Linked DNA regions of Arabidopsis thaliana. The protein of the gene in region 2 purifies or fractionates together with the protein of the main gene of each other region. This does not show direct contact. Each region holds a gene or a part of one and is shown on either strand. Other genes may lie near its edges.

Region 1 (6,041 bases), on a different chromosome or scaffold from region 2:
TTCTAGTTTAAGTGTTCGGTTTTTTCTTTCTATTACCCTAATTTCTGTTGTAGTTTTTATTTAATTGGAATACCTTGAATTTCAAGAAAGCATGCATAGAATGTTTTTGTTTTTTTTTGCTTGTGTCGTCTCTTACTATTGCAACATATGCAATTAGCATGTTCTTACTTCCATTGCTACTAACTCCATTTGAAACATATGATTTGATGTTCTCATATACTCTTTGCCACTCGTTCCATGTACTTATCATTGCCAGAAATCCTCCAAGAACTGTTATAGCTAGAGGTAAACCTCCACACCTTACAATTATCTGCTTCCCAATCTCCTCCATTTTCTTAACCAACATTGGCTCTGCATATCAGGTGAATAAGTGTGTCAAGTATGATAGTATATATGCTGCAGAAAGATTAGAGCCTAATGATTACCTATATTTTCTCTTCCAGATAATGAAATTTTCTCCAACAGCTCCCAACTCTCTTCACATGTTAGCTTCAATTGTTGCTCATGAAGCACACCCCTGGGATCAGCATATAAAGCGACCAATGCTGCATATTGAGGTTAGCTTCTCTTTTGTTCTCAAGTTTGTCACCATTGTAAATGAGCAGCTGGAAAAGAAACAACTCTTAAGGGATATGCGGTACGCAGTTGCTGCAACTAGGGAGTTACTTCCGTCGTTGATGAACGACTACTAGTTTTCTGTGTCCAAATACTTTTCTGAATCAGTTCATCCGAGATCTTTTTTCCTTCTGTAAAAATAATAATATTTTTTCTTCTTTTTTTGCAGATTTCTTCTTATATCACAAGTATTCTCTATGGCTAGTCTCTTATTATATGCATCTATTTTGTCTACTGAAGACATAACTTGCAACATTTCTTGGAGTTTTTGGTCTTGATCAAGTATGTTTTTTCTGCCTCTCTGTGATTGAAACTGTGTTCTTTGAAAACTGGACTCAGATTGATTTTAGATGTGAATGACTCTAATCGAATTAGTACTGGTTCTTGTTGATGTATCTGACTTTCATTTTTAACTTTTTATTTCTTACAGGTTCATCCAGTTATCATCTGTAGCTGGATATGTGAAGTGTCTTCTTGCGAACTTATGTCTTAACTTTGAAATACTTTGAATAACGATGATAATTTGGAGTAATGATGGTAATTTGATCAAATTGTGTTTGGCTTTTTGGTGTGTCCATTTGCAGAGATATATTGCTTTTTAATAACGAGAAAAATGTTATTTAATACCCTAATTTTCAAATTATAACCGTTTTATACGTCAACTTTATATATGGTCATTTTAAACATGATGTTATCGTTGACCACCATTTAAACCATGAATATTTCGTTGACCAGGCCAAAAAAAATAGTCGTTAACGGATTATTCAACTCCCGTTAACACCTCCGTTAACCATTCTAAACGATGTCGTTTTCGTTACTATAAATCATGTTTTACCCTTTTATAAGCTTTTAAAATCCCTTGTAAATCATTCCAATGCCACTTACTTATGCTTAAAAAAACATTGTAAACCATGCTAGCCCTTTTTAAAAATCCTTGTAAATCATTTTATGCCACTTACTTATGCTTTAAAAACGATGATAAATCATGTTTTACCTTTTTATAAGCTTTTAAAATCCCTTGTAAATCATTCAATGCCACTTACTTATGCTTTAAAAACGATTGTAAATCATGTTTTACCCTTTTATAAGCTTTTAAAATCCCTTGTAAATCATTCAATGCCACTTACTTATGCTTTAAAAACGATTGTAAATCATGTTTTACCCTTTTATAAGCTTTTAAAATCCCTTGTAAATCATTCAATGCCACTTACTTATGCTTAAAAAACGATTGTAAACCATGCTAACCTTTTTTAAATCCCTTGTAAATCATTTTATGCCACTTACTTATGCTTTAAAACGATTGTAAATCATGTTTTACCCTTTTATAAGTTTTCAAAATCCCTTGTAAATCATTCAATGCCACTTACTTATGCTTAAAAAACGATTGTAAATCTTGTAAAACTATTGTAAAAAGTTTTAAAATGATTTACAAAGGTTTAAAAAGGGGTTTTAAAGTATTTACCTATGTTTTTAAAGACTTTATAAAGATTTTAAGAGGTTTTAAAATGATTTACAAGGGTTTTTAGCAATTACCAAAGATTTTAAAAAACTTTACAAGGTTTTTTAAAAGAGTTTTTAAAAAATTTACAAGGATTTTTAAAAGCATTTTTTTTGCTGGGAAACAAAATTTACGAGAAAAAATTTTGGCGGGAAATTTATTTTTGGCGGGATTTTTTTTTTTTTGGCGGGAAAAAAAGGTTTGGAGGTGTTCTTCAATGAATAGGGGTGCTTGATGAGGCTTGTATTAAATGGTAGAAGTCCATGGAGAAATCGAAGTGTTCAAAATCGGAGGTGTTCTTCAATGGAAGCTTTACTATGGAAATGTTTTGTTTCGTTAAAGATGAAGAAGAAGAACTTTAAGCGTATATAAGTATCTGTGTTTGTATAGAATGACAGAGAAATCTTTGCAGGTAGAGTGGTCAAATGACCTTTGATTTTTCTCAAATGATAGGGGTTCGAATCCCAGGTCTGTCATTTCTTTTTAAAGAAAAACGAAAACGACGTCGTTTAGAATGGTTAATGGAGGTGTTAACGGGAGTTGAATAATCCGTTAACGACTAATTTTTTTGGCCTGGTCAATAAAATATTCATGGTTTAAATGGTGATCAACGATAACTTCATGTTTAAAATGACCATATATAAAGTTAACGTATAAAACTGTCATAATTTGAAAGTTGAGGTATTAAATAACATTTTTCCCTTTTAATAACTGTAACCAATATGTAACAGAAATCCATCCAACCCAATTTGATCAATAGCGTAAAAACTCATTATTGTTATAAAATTTTAGGTAGTTTACATCAAAATAATATCATTCATTTTTTATACTATAAAAATAGTATTTAGATTAATATTTAACAAGAATAAGAATAATTTTTATATATAGATCATATCAATCCACATAATAAAAAGAGAAAAACTCAAATATGAAAAAAATTCAAGTAACAAAAATATATTAGAATTACATTTGGTTGATTGGAAAAAAAAAAATTACGTGTAAAACTATAGTATTATCTGAGAAACGAATACAAAAATTTGCAACAGTAGCAGCAAAACAAATTCAAAACTTGCGGCAACGACAACAGCAACAACAACAACGAAACAAACAATAACATGCGAGGCAGTCTCACGGCTAGTGGCAGCAAACCCAACAGTTTATCTAAACGAGAACCAAAATTTACTCTCGTTTTTTTTTTAATGTTATCCTTTGATGAACAAAATGTATTTTCCAAATTTTACTTTTTTTATTTTTTAAGTATTATCCCTTAAAATAATATATCTTGCGGAAAAGGAATCGGATTAAATAAATTTTAACGGTAGAAAATAGGATAGGAGGAGAGAGAGAAGGTCTTTTATTGGTTTGAATGAGATTAGTGAAGGCAGCTTCTCTTCTGATTTCTTCAACCAAACCTCCGTCTAGGGTTTTTTACTCTTCCCATCTCCGCCGCCCTTTTTTCTCTCACTTCCGTTTTTCTTCCTCTTCGTCGACGTCTTCCTCCGTCGCAGTCATGCCGGGTTCCGAACCATCGGAGACTCAGTGGCCAGCAAAGAGAGTCCGGGATACTTATGTCGATTTCTTCAGAGGCAAAGGCCACAAGTTCTGGCCATCAAGCCCCGTTGTTCCTCATAATGATCCTACTCTTCTCTTCGCTAACGCTGGTACGATAACTTCGATTCCTCATATCTGTTTTTGCCGATAAGATTGGGAATTTGTCCAAGTTGATCTATGGAATTCAGATTCTATAGAGTTGACTTATTCTGTCTTCTTTTGTCTTTGAAGCTTTGGGACTTATTCAAATTTCTCAATTTCAGTTTTGGTCGAAATTTTCTGATATTGATACTGAGCTATGTAAATTAAGTTCTCTTGATATGTCTGGCGAAAAATAGAATTATTAATGACATTGAAACTTCTCTGTTTTTCAAGGAATGAACCAGTATAAGCCAATATTTTTGGGTACGGCCGATCCAAATACTGAGCTTAGCAAGCTATCTCGGGCATGTAACACCCAAAAGTGTATTCGTGCTGGTGGAAAGCATAATGATTTGGATGATGTCGGCAAAGATACGTACCATCACACCTTCTTTGAAATGCTTGGTAACTGGTCCTTTGGAGATTATTTCAAGAAGGAAGCTATCGAATGGGCTTGGGAGCTCTTAACCAAGGTAATTAAATACCTGGGAAATTTGTCTCTGTTTACTTGATTTAAGAAAAATATACATGGTATTATTCAGTAAACTATTGTCTCCCTCCCTTGGGACGGTATGTCTCAATTTTGTTAAGTGATTCTTCTCTTTTCATTTGGTTGTACATTTCAGTTTTGTAAAGTGATTCTTCTCTTTTCATTTGGTTGTACATTTCAGTTAGATACCTTGTGACAGTATTTCATAATTTTGTAAAGTTACTATTCTCTTTTCGTTGAGGTTGTTTATTTCATTGAGGTTGATACCTCCCTGTTTTCATGCCTCAGGTCTATGGGCTACCGACTGATCGAATCTACGCTACATATTTTGGCGGTGATGAGAAAGCTGGCCTTCAACCTGATAATGAGGCTAGGGATATATGGTTGAAGGTTCTTCCATCTGGACGTGTGCTGCCATTTGGTTGCAAAGTATGTATTGATTATTTAAGATAATAACTTTTAATCTGTTACCTAATTTTTTTGAATCCACTACTCATTGATTTCCTCTCTCCTGAGGTTACTTCACAAGTACTTCAGCTAAGTTGCCTTTGTATTGTCACCATTGTTTCTTGTATATATTGACACATCTGTTTGTCAATGCTAACGACAACCAACTGTAAGCTTGAATGCATTTTGGCTAGGAATACGCTATCATGTTTGGTAGTTGGCAGGCTTTAAAAACCATTGTTTATGATTTACAGTCAAAATCTTGTACAAAATGTAAAACTTAAGGGTTTTTAAATGCTGTTTTTCTTTCATTTAACTTTTGATTAAACTGCAGGACAATTTCTGGGAAATGGGCGACACAGGTCCGTGTGGACCTTGTACTGAAATACATTATGATCGCATTGGTAACCGTGATGCTGCATCCTTAGTTAACAATGACGATCCAACATGTTTAGAAATATGGAATCTTGTCTTTATTCAGGTACAAACCCTCTCTGTCCCAATTGTTATTTAGTTCCATTTTACTAATCTTTATCTCAATATCACAATTGTTTTAATGATTTTGTAGATTGTGTTACTGAAAACTCTATATTGTGCAGTTAGCTAGATTGTTATTGCTCCTTTAGCTGTGCTATCATATTCCCAATTGTTTCCTCTGACTGGGATGTTACTTATGTCTTCAAAATAGTTCAACCGAGAAAGTGATGGCTCGCTAAAACCTCTGCCTGCTAAGCATGTTGATACCGGGATGGGCTTCGAGAGGTTGACTTCTGTTCTTCAAAACAAAATGAGCAACTATGATACAGATGTGTTCATGCCTATCTTTGATGACATCCAAAAGGTAATTTGTGAAAACTTCTGTTGATGGTTTCATGACAGCTGTTTAATGATGGTTTCATTGAGTTATTTTTGTTTGGCCTCCTCTTAGGGACGCATTTGTCACCTTAATTAGTACTATCATCATTTTAGTTCATCAATTTTGAAGTGGATCATGGGTTCTATGCTTTACGTCGAGACTCCGTCAATTGTTTTTGAATATTTCTGGTTTATTGAATTTGGATTTCATGATAAAGGCATTCTACTATGGGTATCCTGGAGATTATTCGTTGTTAGCTGTGTCACTTTTCATGTATTTTTCTTAGTGAGAGGATTGAAAAAATCTTCAAATTGCTCTGTTTACCCTAGTTGTTGCGAATCTTAAGTTTAGGTGTTGATGCTTTCACTTTTTTAGGCAACGGGAGCTAGGCCATATTCTGGAAAAGTTGGTCCGGAAGATGTTGACAGAGTTGACATGGCATA
Region 2 (6,041 bases):
AGGGAAATACAAAGTTCTACAGTCACAACCAGGCAATACCAGGAAGAAACTAAGATAGCCAATATAAAAGTTAGAAATAGAGAAATTAACTGAAATGGAGGATTATACAGTATGTATACTAAGGATTCACATTCTGTTATGATTTAGATAAAAATTACCGGAATGCTTTTCTTTCCAAACCAACAACTCAAGAAATATTCGTCTTTCCTTTCCCCAGAATGATAGGTATAAAGGACCAAATAGCAGTCCCCAGAATAGAGCTTTCCAATATCTTCTTTAGGTAAGGGAGTCTTGACTTTACCATTAACGTACCAAACCTGATACATAGACATAATGAATTATCAGAATGGATACATTCATAGCCAAATGTGTAAAATACCCGGAACATGTCACAAACAGACCTCCAATTTTCCACCACTTTCAAGCAGAGGTGGAATATCCTCATTCACTGGTGCACTTTTTGCAATGCCCTTGAGCCCAACGCCTTGTTGCTTCAGTAAAGCTAGAGAAATGGGGCATTGAAAATAGTCAGTCAGGGCTACAAGACCGTCAATGTTTTCTATAAAGATTTGAGTTTCATAGTGGTGTTTTACCAGCGACTTTTCCTCGTCCTTCTTCGTTACCAGGAGTGGCCGAGCCTGATGGCCAAGAGTCAAAGTTAGACTTGAAAGAATGGGACTCATAACCTTGGATTACACGAGTTACATGTGTTGCCTTTGGCCTATTTTCACTAGCAAGGAATTCCTGTAGATGAAAGGTAAAAAGTGAGAAGCCATGATTGAGATAGATATTCTAAGGACCGGAGAAATGTTTTTAATAGATTTCCATTCTTTACCTCAGCAGATTGACTAGCAGCTTTCCTCTCATCTACTTGAGTGACACGGCCAACCCAGATATATATCTCAGCGCCACAGTCCAAGAGGTAGCATTTAGTGTTTTCCAGCATAGATTTGGATAGGTCACCGTCTATTGGTTCCATCTTACCATCAGTGATGCTAAAGTTAAACAGCAACAACATATCAATCAATAACTCTATCATAATAATCTATTAAGTAAATTTTAAAATAGGTACTACTGCAGAAGATATAAGTATCAGGATGGCATGCATTATATCAAGAAGACAAAATTAGAAATTAACAGACCAATAAAGCTTAGGTGGAGTTGACTCCGGGACAATGTCATCATCATTGGCAACTTTCCTTCCGATTGGAGCAAAACCACCAAAGAGGACCCAAAATGCACCAGAATCTGATTCTGTATCTAATTTTCCGTCATCTGTTATAGCAGGAAAGTATGAATATAGATAAGTTTCCACACACAAAACCTATTCTTTAAGTATTAAAACACTGTTCATTGACTTAAAGGAAACTGAGGAAGAAGGTGCAATTGGCTTACCAACAATCGCAACATCACAAGTTCCTTCGTGATACTTGTCTTTTAAATACTGAACGACTTCCAAAGCTTTGGCTCTCTCCTGAATGTTTGAATTTGCACCATTGAACTGATAGATCTTTTCCTCGGTGTCCAAGATAAATACATCATCATGATTCAGTGATGAGCGGGCAAAAGGAACCTGCAAAAAAGAGGAACAGAAGAAAAAGTTGATGTACATTGGTAATCACCGTTCACTCGTTCTAATACAAGGAGAGTACAATGGTTAAAACCTGCTTCAAACGGATTGCACGTTTTCCTTTGCAAGTATATAACCGGGTCTCAAACACCTCTTCTTCAACTGTTTTGAAACCAGACGCAACACCACCCTCTAAGGGTATAATACATGGCTTGAAGTAAGACAAGAATTTGTCAGATTCATGACCCTGAATTTCCCGGTGTTGGACAGCACGGCCTCCAAGAACTGCATCGAGTTCAACTGTTTTAACAGCTGCTGTTCCAGCTTCATCCTAAAATCATCAAACCATAATTTAGTAAAACACAGTTTCACCTTTGCATTCTCTTCCAAAAACAGTCTTTACTAAATAAAAGAGTCTTGGAGATAAGTACCTGGCTTGTATCTTTACCAATCCAGAAATGTATATCAAACAAATAAGCACCCCCTTTATTCTGTGTTGTCTGCGCAAAGGGAAGATAACATTTCTCAAACATAAGTTAGTCTGTCTTGTAAGAGATCATAACTAAATATTTTTATAGAACACAGAAAACAGAGGAAAGAAAAGAGCAAAGAAAAGAATTACAAACCTGCAAGACAATGTAAGTATCTCCCATATAGAACTTTCCATGCTCAGACTTTGGTACAGGAACTGCCTCAAAATTCTCAATTCTCCAGATTTCAGTCCCTCTAATAACAAAAGTTAAGGTTCACAAGCTCAAACAGTCCAAACATTCAGGAAGAACATAATTAGATTGCTCATTTGATATCAAACACTAATGGGAAAGTAGTTATGTAGCTGAAAGGATACGGTTTCTGGCCAGCTCCTTGAAATGCAGGATCCAACACTTTTGTTGACATTGTATAACAGTCAAATCCTCTTTTTCTGTGTGTCAGGGAAAATTTATGTACTACAAACGCCAATGAACCTGTTGAGTCAAAAAAAAAAATACGGAACAAAGTTAAGAAAATGAGCAGATAATCAACCAAATCCTCCCATTTACTTGGAGATGAAGGATCTCAAGCATTTCTTCTTGGACTGTTTCTCAAGCAAAGCATTGGTCAATTCTGTAATTATAATTTGAGATTCATCTAGAAAATTTTAAATCCAATCTCGAAAGCTAGCTAGTGATCAAGAAACAGGAAAGGTCTACAGAGAGTCAGACACAGACACGTAAAGGATTTTGGCTCGATCAACCTTTAGAAATTAGAAAAACTCAAAACTTTGCGATTTCCAGGAATTGATCAAATGTGATTCAGAAGACCCAGCAGGAAAAAATTCTCGACTTTTCCGAAAAAGACGCAGCCAGATCGAGAAACTCAGATTCACAGATCATGAAACAGAGCAAGGAACAACCACGATCAAATCGGAAATCAGATGATCCATACATTTAGTCAAAATCGATCGAGGTAGAAAGAAGTACGAACCTGCACGAAGATCTTTGGGTGGCACTAAGAAAACGACGAAAGATGAAGAAGAACTGGCAAAGAAGACGAGGGAAGATGAAGAAGAAGAAGAGAAAAAAAGCTAAATTGAATAATTGAAAAGAGGTTGTGAGCTGTGTTTTTTTTCTCTCTAAAGCTTTTCTTTTTAATGCTTTTTCTTTCGTAACGTTTTTTGTTTCCTTAGATTTATTACAGTAGAGAGAGAGAGAGAGAGATTGAATTACTGCCAGACGACGAGGTCGAAGACGAAGAATATAGAGGAGGGAGACAAAGTTTTGAGAAAAGACGTTTAAAGAAGAGTCTGTCAATTTTTAAGGCCAAGTAAATTAGATCCGGTCGTGATTCAATTTCCTCCCGACCAATCTTGTTTTGCCTTTTTCTTTTTCTTTCTTTACCACACTTTTAATTCCAAAAATCCACATTAATCCCAAATTTAATACATATTGTTTTTTCGAAATTATGGTAATAACTGTAAAAATATTTTTTTTTTTTTTTTGTCATCCAAAATTAATTAGAGCTCAAAAGAGCCATTCCTGAAGAATTTTGTTTACATAAGTGATATGATGCGGTTGGACACGAACTTTACGCGCCAAATTATCCGCTTTGACATTTGCACTACGAGAAATTAAAGATAAAAAAAAACTTGAAAATTTTTTCTTGTCACTCTGCAATTCCTCCAAATACACTGAGAAAGCCGGTCATTCGGTTGGGGAAGACATCATCTTCACCAGATCCGAACAGTCTGTGAGAAACACAACATCTTGATTGTCGGCGCCAATCATGCACTTCATCGCCCATAGAAGAGCTTCCACTTCGGCATGTAGTGGGGATAGACTTCGTCTAAGGTTTGCTGCTCCCATTGTTGGCGTCTCTCCAATTGCTGATGTACAGTACCATCCTGTCCCAGAGAAAAAATCGTCTTTTTTCCATGACCCATCCACGTAACAACGATATCCCAAGAAATTGATATCAGGATAGATATCCCTCGCTCTACTCCTAGATCCGAAATTAGGAGTTTCATGATTTTCAACATGCAACTCAATTTGAGCTGACTTCCATGACTGTGCCTCACTTTTTGCGAAACATAATACCTTTAAGGGATCTTTATCGACATTGTCAAAAATCTTTTCATTCGTTGCCTTCCAAATATACCAAATTATCCATGGGTATGAAAAAGAATCAAAATCCGAAATAATCCTCCAAAATAAATAATCCAAATTCGCATAAATAGAGGCATATGGAAATATTCCTGCCGCCGAAGGAATCTGTGAAAGGGCCCATATCTGTCGCGCAGGGTGACATTGGAAAAGTACATGATTAATTGTTTCCTCTACGTTACCACATCAGACACACCCTGAATCACAATTAATACCTCTTTTCCGTAAATTATCTGTAACCGGCACACAACCCGCTAGAGTCTGCCACAAAAAATGACGCAATTTGGGCGGACACTGCACTTTCCAAATGAAAGCTTTTAAAGCTTTGATGTCTGGCCCAATAAAGGAAACATTTACATCCAAAGTTTCTAGCTTTGCCGTATGATATCCAGATTTAACTGAATATTTTCTGGACTTTGTAAAGTGCCAACCAAGAGTATCCTCCGTAGTTGACGCACCCAAGTGCAGAGCACTTATTAGTGAAACATCTTCTGGGACAAAAAGCTCATTTAATAAGTCAATCTTCCAGAAATTTGTTCGAGTGTCAATAAGACTTTGAACTTTTAGGCATGGATCAATAACTGAGCCATTACTTTTTGCTGGTCTCGGGAATTGAGTTGGAATCCACGAATCCTCCTAAACTGAAATGGACGCCCCAAAACCGACTCTTTTAATAAATCCTTTGTTAACCAGAGATCGATCAGAAACAATACTTCTTCATCCATAAGATGGAGAATATAATTTAATATTATCCAACGGATTGGATTTTCGGTAGTACCGACCTTTAAAGACCTTCGCAAACAATAAAAAAAAAAAATTTATCTATTTTTAGCTATTTTAATTAATATATTACCAATATTTTGGATTTTAATATAATATACATGGAAAAAAATAGGTCATCATTATACAATTGGAAACGTCGCTAATTTTTGTCTTGAAATATATATTGCATCTAAACTTATATATATATATATATATATATACTTACATACATTTATTGGATTTGTTGTACCATAAATAGCTACCAACCTAGACCTAGTTATATATAAACATTAACAAAAAAATGATGCAAATATTTGCAAGAAAAGATAGGTGAAATCATACTTGATTTGGATATAACCTATGTAGGTGTAGAATAGACCGTATAAGATCTTTTAACACAAATTAAAAAAAACTATCCAAATTCATTATACATAGTTAATATCATATAGAATGTTGTAAAAAAGAAAAGTATTTCGGAATAAATTATTTGATTTGGAGAGATTGGTCTCATCATTCGCTATTTCAGCATGACACGATGTCCTTTTTAGCATGTGAATTTGCACGATTCAACTCCTTTTTGAAGGATATGCACTTTTCGTATATTAAAAGAATACACTATAGTATTTCTTCGTAATAATATACTCTTTAACATGAAAAACAACAATCATGAATGAAATACAATAACCAGATAAATAGAGAACAGCCTTCTTTTCTACTTTTAGGCTTTTGGCAGATGTCATGGATGGATAATACTCCTTTTTTCTCTACTCTCGTTTTCAACTCAAAAAAAAAGAAGGAAAAAAAAAAGTTATGTCATGTATATAATCGTATTCGTAAATACATAGAAGAAGAAATTTCAGAATCAGCTACCATCATTCCATCAATGCTTTGCCAACTAGAGTTTGTTCAAACTCTTACAAACTTCTCTACTTGACTAATATAATTATGCATTTAAAAGTTCACCGTACCGTTTTCCATTTATATCTCTCCTTTTTGATAGTCTCATTCGCATATGATACACTTGACTTGAAACCTCCCAAAAAAAAAGGGTACAAAGTGTAGCTTCTATA

What was found. Proteins that work in one complex are often made in the same cells at the same time.
Region 1: the proteins of VLN2 (region 2) and ALATS fractionate together in Arabidopsis thaliana (co-fractionation; one large-scale study listed by BioGRID). This does not show direct contact.

What each region holds. Positions count from the first base shown.
Region 1 is NC_003070.9:18,595,750-18,601,790, reverse strand, and holds the start of ALATS (Alanyl-tRNA synthetase), read left to right. Parts: upstream 1-3,311; 5' UTR 3,312-3,479; coding exon 3,480-3,774; intron 3,775-4,039; coding exon 4,040-4,278; intron 4,279-4,583; coding exon 4,584-4,724; intron 4,725-5,076; coding exon 5,077-5,223; intron 5,224-5,430; coding exon 5,431-5,583; intron 5,584-5,973; coding exon 5,974-6,041.
Region 2 is NC_003071.7:17,414,412-17,420,452, forward strand, and holds the start of VLN2 (villin 2), read right to left. Parts: upstream 3,410-6,041; 5' UTR 3,035-3,409; exon of another isoform or gene 2,805-3,034; intron 2,536-2,804; 5' UTR 2,468-2,535; coding exon 2,418-2,467; intron 2,297-2,417; coding exon 2,197-2,296; intron 2,071-2,196; coding exon 2,002-2,070; intron 1,902-2,001; coding exon 1,665-1,901; intron 1,574-1,664; coding exon 1,396-1,573; intron 1,276-1,395; coding exon 1,143-1,275; intron 996-1,142; coding exon 836-995; intron 745-835; coding exon 594-744; intron 503-593; coding exon 402-502; intron 318-401; coding exon 159-317; intron 1-158. UniProt on the Arabidopsis thaliana protein: Ca(2+)-regulated actin-binding protein. Involved in actin filaments bundling. Caps the barbed end of actin filaments and is able to sever them in a calcium-dependent manner. Required for the construction of actin collars in pollen tubes.